2 linked regions of the Sus scrofa genome follow. The protein of the gene in region 1 purifies or fractionates together with the protein of each later gene. This does not show direct contact. Links are inferred from orthologs where the notes say so. Each region holds a gene or a part of one and is shown on either strand. Other genes may lie near its edges.

Region 1 (5,444 bases):
TTGGTCCGTCCAGTCCCTGCGCGGTGTCCCCTCACCTTGGAACATCTCCTGTCCCCTAGAGCTTGGCCTCAAGCTGGCCTCCTGACAGCCCTGCGCCCTCGGCTGGCCTCACGCGGTGCAGCTTGTGACGCTCCTCTCCCCGCGCTGCGGGCAGGGTCCCCACCCCAGGGCCTGCGCCCCCCGCCAGGCCGGGGTGGCCCCGACGTTGGCAGTAAATGGTGCAGAGGTCAGCAGCCCTGCACTTGAAGACCAGGCGGCCAGACCTGCCCACCTCCAGGGTCGTGAAGGTCACGTCCGAAGGCCGCTAGGGCCGTGGAGGGTCTGCGTGGAGTGGCTCTGAGTCCAGAGGGACCGGTGCCTGGACAGGTGGCCGTTGGACTCATACCTGTCCCACCTCTGCAGATAGGTGTGTGCCCACGGATGTGTGCAGCCGGCAGTGCCCCTGTCAGCTTGGGTGTCTGGGCCGCCCATCCTGAGCTGCCAGGCCCCGGCTTGGGTGCCCTGCTGCTGACCTGGGTCCCCACAGGGCCTGGGGGCGTGGGGGGCAGGGGCCGCCCTGCGGGGCCGGGGCTCTGGCAATGTCGCGGACGCCTTTCTCTTGGTGCTGCCTCCACCAGTGGGGGTCTGGGAGGGCGGCAGGACTGTCTGGGCTGTGAGGAGTTGGGGGGCGGCCCTGGTCCGTGGCCTGTGACTGTTGAGTCTGTCGGGGTCACAGGGAACCATCTCAGTCACGCGTGGGGTGGAAACCGTCGGCTCTTTGAAGCGTTCACAGAGAACCTCCTTATCCTCACACGGCCCGGGCTTACAGCTTGGAAGTACGGCGCGCATCAGAGGTGCTTCTGGGGAGTTCCCACCAGGGCTCAGTGGGTTAAGGACCCGACTGGTATCCATGATGTGGGTTCGATTCCTGCCCTCGCTCAGTGGGTTAAGGATCCAGCGTGGCTGTGGCCTAGGCCGGCATCAGCAGCTCTGATTTGACCCCTAGCCTAGGCACTTCCGTATGCCGCGGGTGCGGCCACACACAAAAAACAGTGCTTCCGATTCCCAGCCTGGTCCCTTTAGACAGGAACGCACGCGCATGTGTGTGTGTGTGTGTGTGTGTGTGTGTGTGTGTGTGTGCACGCATGCGCGCGCATGTGTGGGCTTCCGTTTGCTTGGTGCGCGCAGGCTCTGCCAGGCAGGGCCACTCCCAGGGTGCCCAAGCGCCTCTCCTGGTGGTCGCTGTGGAGGCACAGCCATTGGGGCCCCGCATGAGCACCGTGGTTCCGCCGTCCACGAGCGCCGGAGGCAGGTGCGCGAGGGGAGCGCACGGGGAGCCTGGCGGCGAGGCCCCAGCCGGCATCTCGGCCCACAGGCTCGCTGCCCCTGGCCTCCCAGGAGGCGGCCGTGGTGGAGGACCTGCTGTACGTGCTGGTGGGCGTGGACGGCAGGTACATCAGCGCCCAGCCCCTCACGGGCAGGCAGGGCCGCACCTTCCTGGTGGACCCCAACCTGGACCTGTCCATCCGCGAGCTGGTGAGCAGGATCCTGCCGGTGGCCGCCAGCTACTCCACCGTGACCAGGTAGATGCGGGAAAGCTGCTCAGCCCTCTCTGGGGAGAGGCCCCGGGGAGCAGGGACGAGGGCGCCTGGGGTGTCTCCTGGGGAGGAGCTGCGTGCAGGCGGCCTGGCCTCCTGAGGCGGCTGTGCCCTGGGGCTGGGCTGTGTGCCTTTCGTGCTGCAGGTTCATCGAGGAGAAGTCCTCCTTCGAGTACGGGCAGGTGAACCACGCCTTGGCGGCTGCCATGAGGACACTGGTGAAGGAGTACCTGGTCCTGGTCACGCAGCTGGAGCAGCTGCAGAGGCAGGGCCTCCTGTCGCTGCAGAAGCTCTGGTTCTACATCCAGCCTGCCATGCGCTCCCTGGACATCCTGGCCTCCCTGGGTGCGGCCCGGGCTGGGGTGCTCAGCCTCCACTGCTCACGGTCGCGAGAGCCAGGCTGTGTAGCTTCGTGGGGAGTTAGCTGGTGTGTGGGCGGAAGACAGGGAGCGGTCAGGGGAGTGGCCAGAAAGTGCAGCCTTAGAGTTTGAGTCCATCCCACAGAGAAAGCCTGTCCCGCATTCCCGTCGTGGCCCAGCAGGTTAAGAACCTGACTGAAGACCAAAAAAAAGAAAGAGAAAGCAAGCCCGTCCCCCGAGGAGGCGAGAGGGGCGCCAAGGGGCTCTGGCCCGGCACGGGGACCCCGTGGCACTGAGCCCTCTCAGCACTGAGCCCCGCCTGCCTCCTCCCCTGGCAGCCACCTCGGTGGATAAAGGCGAGTGTATCGGCGGGGCGACCCTGAGCCTCCTGCACGACCGCAGCTTCAGCTACACGGGCGACAGCCAGGCACAGGAGCTGTGTCTGCACCTCACCAAGGCCGCCAGCACGCCCTACTTCGAGATCCTGGAGAAGTGGATCTACAGGGGCATCATCGACGACCCGTACAGGTGGGCCCCGGGGCGCCCGCGCGGGCGGCAGGCCCTTCTCAGCATGGCACCTTGCGGGCCCAGAAGGAGGCGGGGCGGGGGCTCCCGACGCGTCCAGCTCGGACGGGTGTCTGTCAGCTTGAAGGAGGAATCTGCTGCCCAGAAATAGTTTTCTCGGTCAGCGGCCCAGTAGCAGCGCCTCGTGTGGAGGCCTAACGAGGACGCCCTCCCACGGTCGCGACGAACGCAAGCGACCTCTGGCCCATGACGAGAGGGCGCCTGCTCTGTTGGTGACAGGCACACGTGCCTGATGGGAGTGCCGTTTTGTTGCCCAAGCTCGAGGTTCCAGCAGGAGGGGCGACAGCAAAGAGGCGTCAGCCTCTCGTCCGCTCCTGGGGCCCCTGCGGCGAGGCCGGCGGGTCCACCCGCACACAGCTGAGAGCCAAGGGCGCTGCGGCTCGCGCGGCCCTGGCCGCCCCTCCAGCCCGGCCGCCCTGCCTTTCAGCGAGTTCATGGTGGAGGAGCACGAGCTGCGCAAGGAGAAGATCCAGGAGGACTACAACGACAAGTACTGGGACCAGCGCTACACCGTGGTGCAGCGGCAGATCCCGTCCTTCCTGCAGAAGATGGCCGGCAAGGTGCTCAGCACAGGTGACTGCTGCGCCCAGGCGTGGGCGTGTCTCAGCCCCTGGGGACACCTCAGTTCGGACACCAGCTGCTCGGGGTCGGTGCAGGCCCCACTGGGTGAGGGCTCATTCCCCCGAGCACCGCCCCCCCCAGACGCCAGCCACAGGTGCCGGGTCCTCAGGCCACAGCACCTCTGTCCACCGCCCCTCCTCCTGTTGCTGTGACGGCTCCCGGAACCCGGGGGACACTTGACCCACGGGGTTGCTGGCCTGCTGTAGAGGACGTGGCGAAGGATGCAGGTGGCCAGCCCGACGTCCCCGGGGCAGGTCTGGAGGGGTCGGTCCTGAGCACAGGGGCGGCTGGCCCCGTGGAGCTGGGGTGCACCGGCCATCCCCCCGCCCCCAGCCCCCAGCAGCTCAGAGGCTCCCAGACCCCTTCCCGCGGGGTTTTCACGCAGGTCCGGCCACAGTGGACCCCCGGCCTGGTGATTCGCTCAGCCTCCAGCCTCCAGCCCCCCGGACGTGAGCTGAAACGGGGCCGGAAGGGTCCGCTCTCTGCTCACGTGGTGCTTCCTCTGGCCCCTAGCCCCGTCCTGACGCTCTGGAGGGACGGCCAGGAGCAGCCCCATTAGCCTGGACTCCGAGGGGTGGAAGGGGCCTGTGAGCAACCAAATCCCGAGGGTTTGAGGAGCTCAGGGCCGGGAACGGAGACCAGCTGCACGAGGAGTCTTAGGTCACAGTGTCTCAGGCCAGCTCAGGAGTCAGTCAGGGACACAGGCCCCACGTGGGTCAGGAACCTGACTAGAGACAGGTGTGGGTTCTGAGGGCCGGGCTGGGGAGGGTTGGGAGCTGATGTAGTACCTGGTCCCTGTGAGGCGCTGAGATGAGTCTGTGTCCCTGATGAGAAGAGTGCACACACGAGGGGTCACGGGAGATGGCAGCCCTTCAGGGGCGACAGCTGTGCTGCTCCGCTCTGGGCGAGGGGCTCCCAGGACGCTTAGCTGGGCCCTGCTCTTCCCGTCCCCTGGCCAGTGTTTGGGCTGCAGCGTCTGGGGTTCAGGCCTGCGATTTTATGACGTAAGCAGCAAAAATTGTAATGCGCCTTCCTGTGTCCCTCTCCAGGGAAGTATCTAAACGTGGTCAGAGAATGTGGTCACGATGTCACCTGCCCAGTGGCCAAAGAAGTCGTCTACACACTGAAGGAGCGGGCCTACGTGGAGCAGATCGAGAAGGCCTTCAGCTACGCCAGCAAGGTGCTGCTGGACTTCCTGATGGGGGAGAAGGAGCTGCTGGCCCACTTGAGGTGCGCCGGCCCGCTCGCACCGGGCTCTGCAGCCCGAGGAGCCCCACTCGGTCCCACCTGATGCCCCAGAGGCCGGCCAAGGGTGGTGTCTGCCCGTGTCCCCTTGTCTGCCGTGGCAGGGCTCCCTGACTGGGCCACCAGCCCCTCCTGGGGCCCCCTCTGAAGTCCTTCACAGCGTTTCTGGCCGCATCTCCTCCTGCACAGCTGGGCTTGGTGGTCCCGGGTCCCTGCTGCAGGTTTCCGCTCATTTTGAGCCAACCCCGCATCCCCTGTGAACGTACCTCCTGCTGTGGGCACCAGTGGGAGGCCCCGTGGGTGTGGACCCCCGGGGCCTGGGGGGCCCGCCGGCCCCAGCGCCCAGGCCGTCCTCAGGTCCGCAGCCTCCCGCCCCACCCGCCCGCCTGCAGGTCCATCAAGCGCTACTTCCTGATGGACCAGGGCGACTTCTTCGTGCACTTCATGGACCTGACGGAGGAGGAGTTGAAGAAGCCGGTGGACGACATCACACCCACCCGCCTGGAGGCGCTGCTGGAGCTGGCCCTGCGCATGAGCACGGCCAACACCGACCCCTTCAAGGATGACCTCAAGGTGGGCTGGGCGCCGGAGCCGCCGGAAGGAGGCGCTGCAGACGGCAGCCCCCGACGGCGGCCCTTCCTGCCTCGGTTCACACGCTCGCGTGGGTCTCCTCGGCTCGCGTGGGTCTCCTCGGCTCGCGTGGGTCTCCTCGGCTCTGCAGGGCCGCCAGTGCTGAGCGCCTGCATCCTGGGCTCAGTCCCTCGGGTCGCGGTGTGTGAGCCTTGCCAGCCAGGGCTGCGGTCTGCGGCCGTGGCTGTCCCGCAGGCGTGTGGGCTGGTCTCTGGCGTCTCTGGCCTCGTAGCCCCTCTGCTCGAGCGGTTTGGAAGTTTCCGGAGGATCCGAGAGGATGCTGGCTGCAGGGTTTGGTAGCATTCACCCAGGACCCTTCCTGTGTTGCGAGGGTCTGAGTATTTCTTGACTCCTCCCTGGTTACGGTTTGTGCCAGTGCTGAGTTTCCTGGAGTCGGTCTCGGTATTCCCGTGTACTGCAAATCTGC
Region 2 (6,231 bases), on another chromosome or scaffold:
TGTAGGTCGCAGACACTGCTCGGATCCTGCCTTGCGGTGGCTGTGGCATAGGCCAGCAGCTACAGCTCCGGATAGACCCCTAGCCTGGGAACTCCCATATGCCACAGGTGTGGCCCTAAAAAGCAAAAAAAAGCTGAAAAAATGAAGCCTTCCCTAATCTAAAGAGTATGTCTCCTTCCACTTCACTCTCCTGTCTAACTACCAGTCACAGCATCATATTCTCTTGAAGTTGCCATTTTAGTTGTGTCTATTCCATTAGGGTCAAGACCGACTTTTCATTTTTGCCTTTGTTTTTTTTTTTTTAAGGGCCCGCACCCGTGGCCGCACCAGGAAGTTCCCAGGCTAAGGGTTGAATCGAACTGGAGCTTGTAGCCACTGGCCTCCACCACAGCCACAGCCATGGCAGATCCAAACCACGTCTGTGACCTACACCACAGCTCACAGCAACGCTGGATCCTTAACCCACTGAGCAAGGCCAGGGATTGAACCTTCCTCCTGGTGGCTACTAGCCAGATTCATTTCCGCTGAGCCACGATGGGAACTCCAAGATTTACTTCTTTTTCTTTCTTTTTTTTTTTTGTCTTTTTGCTATTTCTTTGGGCTGCTCCCACGGCATATGGAGGTTCCCGGGCTAGGGGTCGAATCGGAGCTGTAGTCACCAGCCTATGCCAGAGACACAGCAACGCTGGATCCGAGCCGTGTCTGCAACCTACACCACAGCTCACGGCAACGCTGGAGCGTTAACCCACTGAGCAAGGGCAGGGACCGAACCCGCAACCTCATGGTTCCTAGTCGGATTTGTTAACCACTGCGCCACGACGGGAACTCCCAAGATTTACTTCTTTTTCAAACAGTCTGCAAGCTAAGAACGGTTGACAAAAAAATCTGAAAGCTTACTATTTCACAACATGTGAAAATTACATGAAATTCCAAGTGTCCATAGGTAAAGCTTTGTGGGAACCATGCCACATTTATTATTTAAATACGACTTATGGCTGCTTCCGTAATACAAGGCAGAAGTGCACAGCTGCAACAGCAACCAGATAAGCTGCAAAGCCTAAAATATTTATTATTTGGCCCTTGAAAGAAAAATTTTGCTGACCCCTGCGTTAGAGTATAAGCTCCTTGAAAGTTTTGTCCTGTGACCCGGACTTGTTCAAGATGTCACCTCTGTACCCAGCACTGTGTTCAACCCAGAGCATTCAAATAATGTTTGCTGAATTTGTGAGAATAGATAATTAAACGACATGGCTTCTTCTCTATTACAGTGTTAGTACATATGTCATCAACCACATTATCTAGCTGAACCCACAGTTGTAGGAAACTAACACATTATCTATTACACTAACATGAAATCCTAAGTATGTAAAATAAAAAGAAATGCTAATTTAAAAAATCTGGTTAACTTATTTTTTGCCCAACAACTATATTATAATGAATGGTACAATTAAAAAGCACATTCCAGATACATATGTTCCAGGATAAATCACCTACTTATCTTGTAAAGTAAGATATTTACATTCAAAGCTATTTGTAAACACTAGTCAAGCATAACTTACTGGTAATTTTGTCGATTTAAAAACAGAAGGACTGGAGAGAGTTTGTTCATGGAGACTAGAATAATCACCAGGACTTTCGAAAGGATTTAAAACAGGGATCCTTCCTGGCGTTTCAGGTGTTATCTGCATTTTTGATTCTTTGACATCTCCCATAGCGCAGAGAGAAAACTAAAAAGAAATCATAAGTGTGTATAAAAGGACAAAGTTTCAGACATTCATTTTGACAATTAAAATATATTCAACGAACATTTCATAAAAGAATTAACTCAAAAGCTAGCACTCTTGGGATTTTTAAAAAATAGTTTAACAAGAGCTCCACATACATTTTCTCAAGGGTGATCCTCTAAATAACTTAGAAAGCTAGAGGGGGAAGGTGCTGGAGAGAGATTTTTGCAGAAAATCTACAAGCTCAGAGAATTTAAGTGGCTTACAAGTACCAGTCCAAATATGAGAGTTCCGGTCCACCTTCTAGGCAACTAAAGTTCACAACAGGCACAAAGCCTTTTTCAACTAAAGAATTTATACCTACAGTTTTTTTTTTTTAATTCATTATCTCAAGTCTCTAAGCACTTTGAGCATAATTCGGAGAGCCCAGTCATTTCCTAGAAAAATGCAATTACTAAACATCAGTTATTTACAGCAAGCAAATAAGAGACCAGGAAGCTTGTGCACCGTGCCCTTCTTGCACATTAAAGAGAGTGTGCCTGTTTAGGGCTAGGAAACTAACCGCTTTCGGCTGCCTTTTCTCGAACACCCTCGTTTCCCTAAGACCCCCAGGACAGAAGGCGAGACAATTATTTCCTGTCAAAGGAAGCTACAACCAGAGAAAAAGGACCTACTCCTTGGAAGGCTGATGTGCAGCTGGCCTCCTCGGGTGAAGAGCAGAGGAGGGCACTCACGCCGGTGTCATCGCCAGCCCTACTAGACCACTCTTTCTTGGCGCCCCTTCTTCCGCACCTACTCCCTGGCAGCTCCCATTCATCCCGGGAGAGCCGGCAGGCAGGTCCGGAGCTGGGCAAAGTGAGCTCTCCAATTCGAGACAGGAGGAAAAGCCAGGAACTACAGACAACGTACCTAGCTGTGTGTTTTTAAAAAAAAAAAAAAAAAAGAAAGCCCCCCCGCAAAGCGACTCCAGGACGCCCCGGGGGTGCCAGGCCGGCTCACACGACAGGCAGACTCTTTAACTCCCCGCTTCCGCGCTGTCTTAGGCCAACCAGGGCTCTGGCCCTGTGGGCGACTGGCCAATCGCGCCGCACCGCTGTCCGCGAACCAGCCAATCGAGTCGAGGCCGCGTAGTAAATTCGAATGGCAACTCCTCGCTTCGCATTCCGCGTAGAGTAACGAGGCTCCAAATTCAAATCAACGCAGCCTCACGCCGGCGACGGGCGCGAGGGGCGGGGCTGCCAGGCGTGGGCGGGGCCTGACCGGCGTGAGAAGGGGACGCGCGGTGTGATTGCCCAGGAGAAAGGAAGGCGCTCCAGTTCCGGGTCAGGCCCTTCGCTACCCTTCCTCGGCCTTCACCATGGCGGGTAACAGCGGCTCCGGGGCTGCGGCGGCGGCGAATCTGAATGCAGTGAGGGAGACCATGGACGGTGAGTGCCCGTTTCGCCCCCCTTTACCTTGCATCCGTTCCTTAAAGCCAGCGCCCCCAGGCGGGGGTGGGCCCAAAGGGACTTCAGGTCCACTTCCTGGCCTGATCTGCATCTTTGGGGAGTCTGTCAGGGCACCCCGCCAAGGCCGCGGGGCTGATGGCCTCATCCCTTCGGAGTCGTCTTTTCGCTCCTGCGTAGTTTGTCGCGCGCACAGCGTTGCGGCCCCACGTCAGCCCGGCGCGCGCTCAGCCTCTGTCGCGCTGGACCGCGCGCGCAGTCCGTGTCCAGCGTGCACATCCCACGCCCCCTCCCGCGCCTCTCTCCGGGTGCGACGCCCCCCTCCCCACGCCGTGGTCTTGCGTACCCGAATCCTGCCACCGGAACGCTCAGCCCACGCCCCCTCCCTATGCCACGCCCCCTCCCGCTTCGAGTTCCCGCGTCCTTCCTCTGGTGCGGGCCTTGCCAGCCCCGCCCAGCTGGCTCACTCCCTCTACTGCGGGGAGCGCCTCAGAAGCCTCTGCCAGACTTTAAGCCCCTCGCGGAGAGCGGCCTCACGTGTTTGGTCACCGCTACATCTTTTGTCCCTTGCACGTCAGCAGGCGCATTTTAAATAGACCGTGAAGGAACAAGTTGTGCGTTTATCAAAAGTGCAGCGGACCGGTTTAGTCTTGGAGCAGGTGATGCCTGTGTCGAGGGCTCTGGGCGTATTTACCTGTTTTTCGAGTCCCGAGCACGGGGGTAAAACCTACCCGCAAGTAGTAGAAAAATAATCGCGTGGAAGTTATCCTCTCCTCTCTGCCACTTTCTACCCCAGGTGGTGGTGGGCTTGGACAAGCTGCTTAGACATCCTTGAGCTTGCTTTCCTCCCCCGCCCCCCGTAAAACGAAGTTACCTAGAGTTGTGTGAATATTTAAATAAAAAACCAAGTAAGGGCATCTCAGAGATAGTTAAAAGATAGTTCCTGTACTTTGTGTATAAGATGTTATCCCACTTGCGGACGCCTCATTTGCGTCCCCCTGTATATGAGGATTTGATGCATGTTAAAACTTTGCATTTTCCAGAGGATACCACCTCACCTTCTAATTCTGTCAAAACTAGAAATTTTCACAGGTAAGCATTGTCAGCCTTCATGCCTCATCTCTGTCTCACTGTAAGGTCCATTTCCTATCAGAGCCACTCTTTGTGGAGACTTCTGATAATGCTTCTGCCTTTTTTTGCACTGGCTGGCTGCTCTCCTTTTCAAAAAGACTTCTTTATATTATTAGCGCTTTGGGGTCTAATATTTTACTTAGTTGCTGCTTTGCTATTTTTCTGAAAAATAGACTTTTTTTCTTAACTCCGTATTCAGCCTGTTTCCCATCCTTATTGATATATCATAGCTTATTAGGTGTTAAGTGGATTTGTTTACATGGTAACTATATGTGAACAACGTTATGGTCTTAGATATCCATGCTTGGAAGCCAGTGTGGTTTTTGAACAGGATGGAGGGTATATGAAGCCTGACTTGTAGGCAGTTTTCTTTATGTTAGCTGTGCTTAGGTTCCTTAATTATATGGCCACAATATCCCATTTGAATAGAAAACTGACATTTTCTCTCTGGTGGAACAACTGATGTAGAAAGGAGAACCAATCATTTGTATTGGTTACATTATCAAGATTTTTGCCGAGAGAACTTTATGTAAAATGAAGATTACAGAGTATAAGAACATGAAAAGGTAAAGAAAGACCAGGCTTTTTTTTTTTTTAAACCAGCATCGGAGGCGAGCATGTGTGAATTAAAGAACACTGCTCCTCTACACATGGTTTGCCCACAATCCAAAAAGTAAAAAGGAAGGCCCCAGGTTGCCAGTGAATCAGGATCTGTTAAATGTGCTTAGGAACTGTCGTGTCCATTAGAACTCCAAACTTACAGAAATTCTGTGCTGTCTTGCCATAATTGGGTCCAAAATAATCAGTCACATAAAATGTGAAGTTTAATTATTGCTAAGTTAATGAAACTATTTTCCATGCCACCTCGGATGATTAAGGCACAAAGGGAAACGTTGTGACACTTGGCAATGTTAATAATTGACCCTACACATTGCTGTGGCTCTGGCATAGGCCGGCAGCTGCAGCTCAAATTAGACCCCTAGTCTGGGAACCTCCATGTGCCGAGGGAGCGGCCCTGGAAAAGGCAAAAAGATCAAAAAAAAAAAAAAAAGAATTTGACCCTACATGGAACTGAAAAAAGTACTAAATGCAGCCATTTCATAATCCCCCCCAATTCCTAGAAATAGAGCTCTAACTTGCCCAAGGAACTGGGCTAAACTACTCAGGCACCATTATTATGTGAAATTCTGCCAGTGTGGGGTTTCACTGTAGTAGACTGAAGTGTTCAAAACCTTTTGGGTCTGGCAACCCTCCTTCAAGATCTAGTATATTTCTCTTCATTCTCTTCCTCCCTCCCTCCCATCCGTATTAAGAGTCAGCTCACAGTGCTTTAATCTTTTAAGTAATGTCAAATGAATGATTCGCAAGGGTTGTAGAATTCAGCTATGAACATTTGTAATTTTATTGTGAAATGAAAGGATTTTGATATGCACAGATCACTGGAAAGGACCTAATGTGATTTAGTAAAGGGTCTGTTGTAAAGGGCCTCCTCGGTGCTCTCTGAGAGCCTCAGCTTCTCGTTTCCTCTTTGAAATGTGAGAGGATCTTTCAGCTACCTTTCTCACTCCTCCCGTATACTTAATTGTCTCTCGTTTTTCAACATTTTGAAGTTTTAGATACTCTTTGTTGATAGCTTCATACTTTAATTATTCTTTTCTTTCTTTTCTTTTTTTTTTTTTTTTTCAGCTTTTTAGGGCCTCACCTGCTGCATATGGAGGTTCCCAGGCTAGGGGTCGAATCCGAGCTACAGTTGCTGGCCTACACTACACAACAACGCCAGATCCAAGCCACATCTGCAACCTACACCACAGCTTGCGGCAATGCTGTCCTTAACCCACGGAGCGAGGCCAGGGATCGAACCTGCAACCTCATGGTTTTCCTAATCGGAATCGTTTCCACTGTGCCATGATGGGAACTCCCTAATTCTTATT

Evidence for each region. The genes of interacting proteins can lie anywhere in the genome.
Region 2: the proteins of TUBGCP2 (region 1) and MZT1 purify together in Homo sapiens (affinity purification with mass spectrometry; 4 studies listed by BioGRID and IntAct, counting the BioPlex papers as one, with this or other methods). This does not show direct contact. The link is inferred for Sus scrofa from reciprocal best matches to the Homo sapiens genes TUBGCP2 and MZT1.

The regions. Positions count from the first base shown.
Region 1 is NC_010456.5:141,239,020-141,244,463, reverse strand, and holds part of TUBGCP2 (gamma-tubulin complex component 2), read left to right. Parts: intron 1-1,354; coding exon 1,355-1,562; intron 1,563-1,722; coding exon 1,723-1,922; intron 1,923-2,274; coding exon 2,275-2,464; intron 2,465-2,948; coding exon 2,949-3,094; intron 3,095-4,191; coding exon 4,192-4,372; intron 4,373-4,779; coding exon 4,780-4,960; intron 4,961-5,444. UniProt on the Homo sapiens protein: Component of the gamma-tubulin ring complex (gTuRC) which mediates microtubule nucleation.
Region 2 is NC_010453.5:45,015,637-45,021,867, reverse strand, and holds the start of MZT1 (mitotic-spindle organizing protein 1), read left to right. Parts: upstream 1-2,858; 5' UTR 2,859-3,081; coding exon 3,082-3,151; exon of another isoform or gene 3,152-4,217; intron 4,218-6,231. Other genes in the region: BORA (protein aurora borealis), read right to left, coding at 1,560-1,712. UniProt on the Homo sapiens protein: Required for the recruitment and the assembly of the gamma-tubulin ring complex (gTuRC) at the centrosome.